Linked DNA regions of Kluyveromyces lactis. The protein of the gene in region 2 binds, or shares a complex with, the protein of the main gene of each other region. Links are inferred from orthologs where the notes say so. Each region holds a gene or a part of one and is shown on either strand. Other genes may lie near its edges.

Region 1 (2,451 bases), about 1.0 Mb from region 2:
TGACCTTACAGTGAAAGTGTTGCTTGAACTAAGTTTGGCCCTTATCAACCATTTCCCTTTATTTGCATTGCTTTTACGGATAAAAGATGCTAAAAGGTTACCTGGTGGTATCAAGTTCAAAGTATATGATGATCACTTATTAATATCGAATAATCCAATCAGCTTTTTCATGACCTTTGAACCATTCACAAACGTCATGAAATCCATTCAAAGACAGATGTTCTCGGTTGAGACTTTGAAGATGGTGAGTCAGGGATCAGTTCTTAATGTACGAAGAGATGAACTCTATCGTGTTTTGTACCATAATCTACCGAGACATCCAATTGATATCGATTTACTATGGAAAAAGTTAAAGATGGTAATGGAACAAGATACGATATAAACCCCTCTCACAACCACAATTAATGGCACAGATTGCATAGTTTGAATCTTACTTGAATATTCGTATTTAATAAAAACATAGTTGAAATTCGTTAAATTCTTGGGTCTATTTGAACTGACTGATATAATTTATATACAAGGTATTTTTATATGATGGAAATGTTAATTGCAAGTCCCTTTAAGTGGGATAAAAGGATAGGCTGGGCTCATTTTGATCACTTTCTCTTCTTGGTCTTTTTACCGTCACCAGAGGCCTCTCTCTTCTTAGTTGGAGCACCCTTACCTCTACGCTTTCTTAGTTCAAGCATAGTCAATCTATATTGTTCTTCTTCATCAACGAAGTTCATGCCTGGATATAGTTTCTTCAATTGCTTGAATCTGATAAAATCTGGGTTACCATAATAATTCGCAATAGCAGGTCCTTTAAGCCTCTGTGCTAGGATCTTAGACCCAGTTCTGGCATTTGTTGGATTGAAATTTTGATCAAAAACTTTGGCTGATATCTCAGCAAGCTTCAGTAGCCTAGATTTGGGTACAGACATTTCTCAAAATATGAAAATATGAGTGATAACTGATGGAACAACCCGCAAACTAGTTCGCTGAGAGTTAAAGCACACCTAAGACCTATTTATTGGTACTTTCACTTACTACTTCTGCAGCAGGTTTCTATTTTATGCAAGCTCAGTTTTTTTTCGAATGTTCCAATGTTCAAATTTTCATTATCAGGAAATTATCACCATGATGAGGATAAGAGCGATGAGAGATGCGAGAAGGGTCACATTGCCATACTGGGTACTGAAGCACCATTGAAGGGGAAATATTCAGTTGGCACGTTCAATCAATTAAATAATATTCAATTCTTTGTATAATTATCGGGTACTAGCCTGGATCAATAATGATATTAAAATTATACACGATGTGGAGTTTTAAAAACTAGTAAAAATAGTTAAAAATATGAGCGGATGGTTGAGAGTTGTTGCATGAAGCTATAATAATAACAATGATAGTATGCTAAGCATTGAATCTATATTATAGAATGATGAATTAAACAAAAAAAAAGGTGGAATAACTTCCAGGAATTCAGTTAAAGAATTCTTGAAGTTTAGTTCCATTCTTCTTCTTGAGCTTGACCTTCTTCAGCCCATTCAGCAGCTTCGGTTTGTTCTTCAGTAGCGTCAACGGCTTCTTCAGTTTGTTCACCGGAAGCAACAGCTTCTTCTTCAGCAGTTTGTTGTTCGATTTCTTCTGGGTTTCTGTAGAAGTACAAATCTGGCATGATAGCCCATGGTTGAGTTCTGTCTGGTAGAGCACCTCTCAATCTTAGGACTTCTCTAGCCAACAAGTACCAGATCAAACCGATGGAGTGCTTACCTCTGTTGTTACATGGGATAGCAACATCAACGTATTCGGATGGGGAGTCCAAATCGGTCAAAGCGATGACTGGGATGTTAACGTAAGAAGATTCCTTGATAGCTTGAGCATCGGATCTTGGGTCAGTAACGATAACCAATCTTGGTTCCTTGAAAGATCTGGTGATGTAGTTAGTGAAAGAACCTGGGGTAAATCTACCAGCAATTGGAGTAGCACCGGTGTGAGCAGCGTACTTCAAGACAGCTCTTTGACCATAAGTTCTGGAAGAGATAGCAACAACATCTTCTGGGTTTGGAATGGCAGCAATGATTCTGGCAGCCAAAACAATCTTTTCCCAGGTCTTACCAACGTTGATAACGTTGACACCATCTGGTCTAGCCTTGTAGACGTATGGTTCTTGGTGAACCTGTTAATAATTAAAAAATAACCATGCAAACGTTTCGTTCGCAAAAGTTAAAAATATATTGTTAGTAAAGAGAGAGCTTTTTCCCAACCGCAACATGCGACAGGATACACTTTTCGAAGTGCAGATATTACCATATGATAGAGGAGATGTTCGTGTACTTTTTTATTATTATTTTAGTTCCCTAGAAATGGCAGGCCATTTCAATTGTTGTTCTTTTAACAGATTCAGTTAAAACCATATCCTCTCGTACTTCAGTCTGATATCCTTGTTCGAAGGGAATCAGAATTGAAATA
Region 2 (2,299 bases):
ATATATCTGACTTAGTTACAAGAACGAACGAATTTGTTAACGATTTGACATTTATCAAATACGATAAGACCGTTCCAGTGAAAATTATGGAAGGGTCTGATGTGAAATTTTCATATATACCTACGGATCTAGAATACGTCCTTCAAGAATTGCTTAAGAACAGCTCGAGAGCACATATTGAAAACAACGTTGACAAAGATGTGGAAGTAACAATAGTGAAAAACGACGATCAACTTGAGATCAGAATCAGAGACTTCGGAGGCGGTATAGATCCACAGGTAGAAGACCGAGTCTTTGATTATTCTTTTTCCACAACGGTGAAGGAAGAGAAGGACAGCGGTATGAGCGATTATGTTTTACCTGGTCAAGAAGTCCAAAACGTTGCAGGTATGGGATTCGGACTTCCAATGTGCAAAGCGTACCTAGAGTTGTTCAATGGTACACTTGACATTCAGTCATTGTGGGGATGGGGTACTGATGTTTATATACGATTGCACGGTCCATCGGATAGACTATTCGACAAATGAGAACACTGTACTATCATTCAGTCCCGGAGCTTTCCATTGCAACGTGTTTATACTGTTAGCGCTATTTACAGATATAATCCTATTTATTGAGAAACATATATTCATATATACAAGAAGTTATCACATGTCATGATTAGCTTCTGTTTGCAGTTCTTTGAGGAAGCACCGATATGTCTTTGTGAACCTTAGACATCAAACCTATTGCTTGGCATCTCTTAATAGCCTTTGTTAGACGACGCTGGTTCTTAGCCGATAAACCAGTTACATCTCTGTGTAATATTTTACCCGTTGATGTCACAAATCTTGACAAGAACTCTGGGTTGGTGTATAAATCAAGTGGATTGATCTTCAATTTGTTGAATGGGTCAAACGATCCAGGACGTACCCCAAACTTCTTATCTAAATGTATTCTTTCTAAGGAGAAATCAAATGGATTGTAAACGGAGCCCGGCTGAAAGTTTTTGATTAACTTGGATTCTAGCTTCTTGATTGTGGGCTTGCTATTAGCTTCCGACATACCTTCTTTCAGAAGTTTTTGGTCAAGACTGTTGCAGACATATCTTGTGGTAGAAAAGAATCTTGCGCAGCTGCGGGAAAACATTTCTTCTGATGTGTTTTAATTTATTCAATCTCTCGTTAACAGGCGTAGAAAGGCCCGAGCGACTTGGTTGTTTTCCTTCTCTTGCTTGCTTAATATTCATGTTATTGAATAAAATTTTCCATGTTGAAAAGATCTCTAAATTTCAAAAAAAAAGAGATTGAAATAAAGGATACTTAAGTCATTGCCAGGCATTCAACCTTTTTCCTGTTGTCAACCCAGTTTACGCAGATCAACCTTGGAGGTGTAGCGCGATTGATCGGAAAGCTCTTGCAGGAAGTCGGGCATCCCTGTGGATCAAACCCGGCGCGCTCCAGCACCTACAGGCCGATGCAATCGGCCTCCTATTCTTTGACCTGGCCAAAACTGATGATCCGTTTGCTGGGTACCGGCGACGGTACCGCTGAGCGCTGCTATGCCGGCAGTCAGGTTGGTTATAGCCAGCAAAATGGAGCCGAGTGCCTACCCAGGTCAGCGGTGCGTTGCGCTTGGTCACGTGTGAGATTTCGTGTGCCAGCATCGAGGCTAGCTGGCTTTCATTGTCGGTAACCTGCAGCAGTAATGGATCTTTGATCAGCGGCGCGCTGGCGCGCTGCTGCCGCACGTAGAAATCGCCCATAGCCAGCCGTGGGCCACAATCAAACGTTTACCCCAGCTTTTCGGCAGGGTCTTGATTCTTGGCTGGATCTGATGGGAATAATGAATCAGTAAATAACTGCGATTCTGAACTAATTCGAGGATTTTATCAATATTGGTGTGATTTCCAATGTAACATCAATTCATCTATTATCAGTCAGTGTTCTATCCGCTCTGGTGGTTATTCAGGTTAAGTAGGTTAACATATAAACGTAACAACAAATTAAAAAGCTGGAAAATATTACTACTTTTCCAGCTTTCAATCCATTAATCGTTAAATACAAAACTTTCTTCAGCTAGATTGTGGTCTTTTCTATAACTCTCGTCCAATATTAAATAATCATCTGGTTGTTTAGAGCTTACTCCTTTCAACCAAAACTGTTCACCGTAAGCTATCAGCATTGCCCAATGATACTCAAGTTCATGGCTACGAAGACATACTGCCAGATAACTATCAATGGGCTTACATACTAATGAAGACGATAAAACCATTAATTCAGCCTCATCTTCTTTTTTATTTGCATACTTAACGATAATT

What was found. The genes of interacting proteins can lie anywhere in the genome.
Region 1: RSM18 (region 2) and RSM27 share a complex: the UniProt entries of both Saccharomyces cerevisiae proteins name them as parts of the mitochondrial small ribosomal subunit. The link is inferred for Kluyveromyces lactis from reciprocal best matches to the Saccharomyces cerevisiae genes RSM18 and RSM27.

What each region holds. Positions count from the first base shown.
Region 1 is NC_006041.1:1,440,301-1,442,751, forward strand, and holds RSM27 (mitochondrial 37S ribosomal protein mS33), read right to left. Parts: upstream 924-2,451; coding exon 597-923; downstream 1-596. Other genes in the region: GPI1 (phosphatidylinositol N-acetylglucosaminyltransferase), read left to right, coding at 1-382; KLLA0_E16149g (uncharacterized protein), read left to right, coding at 1,086-1,250; RPS0A (40S ribosomal protein uS2), read right to left, coding at 1,484-2,158. UniProt on the Saccharomyces cerevisiae protein: Component of the mitochondrial ribosome (mitoribosome), a dedicated translation machinery responsible for the synthesis of mitochondrial genome-encoded proteins, including at least some of the essential transmembrane subunits of the mitochondrial respiratory chain.
Region 2 is NC_006041.1:409,154-411,452, forward strand, and holds RSM18 (mitochondrial 37S ribosomal protein bS18m), read right to left. Parts: upstream 1,129-2,299; coding exon 661-1,128; downstream 1-660. Other genes in the region: protein kinase PKP1, read left to right, coding at 1-527; KLLA0_E04577g (uncharacterized protein), read right to left, coding at 1,358-1,744; KLLA0_E04599g (uncharacterized protein), read right to left, coding at 2,029-2,299. UniProt on the Saccharomyces cerevisiae protein: Component of the mitochondrial ribosome (mitoribosome), a dedicated translation machinery responsible for the synthesis of mitochondrial genome-encoded proteins, including at least some of the essential transmembrane subunits of the mitochondrial respiratory chain.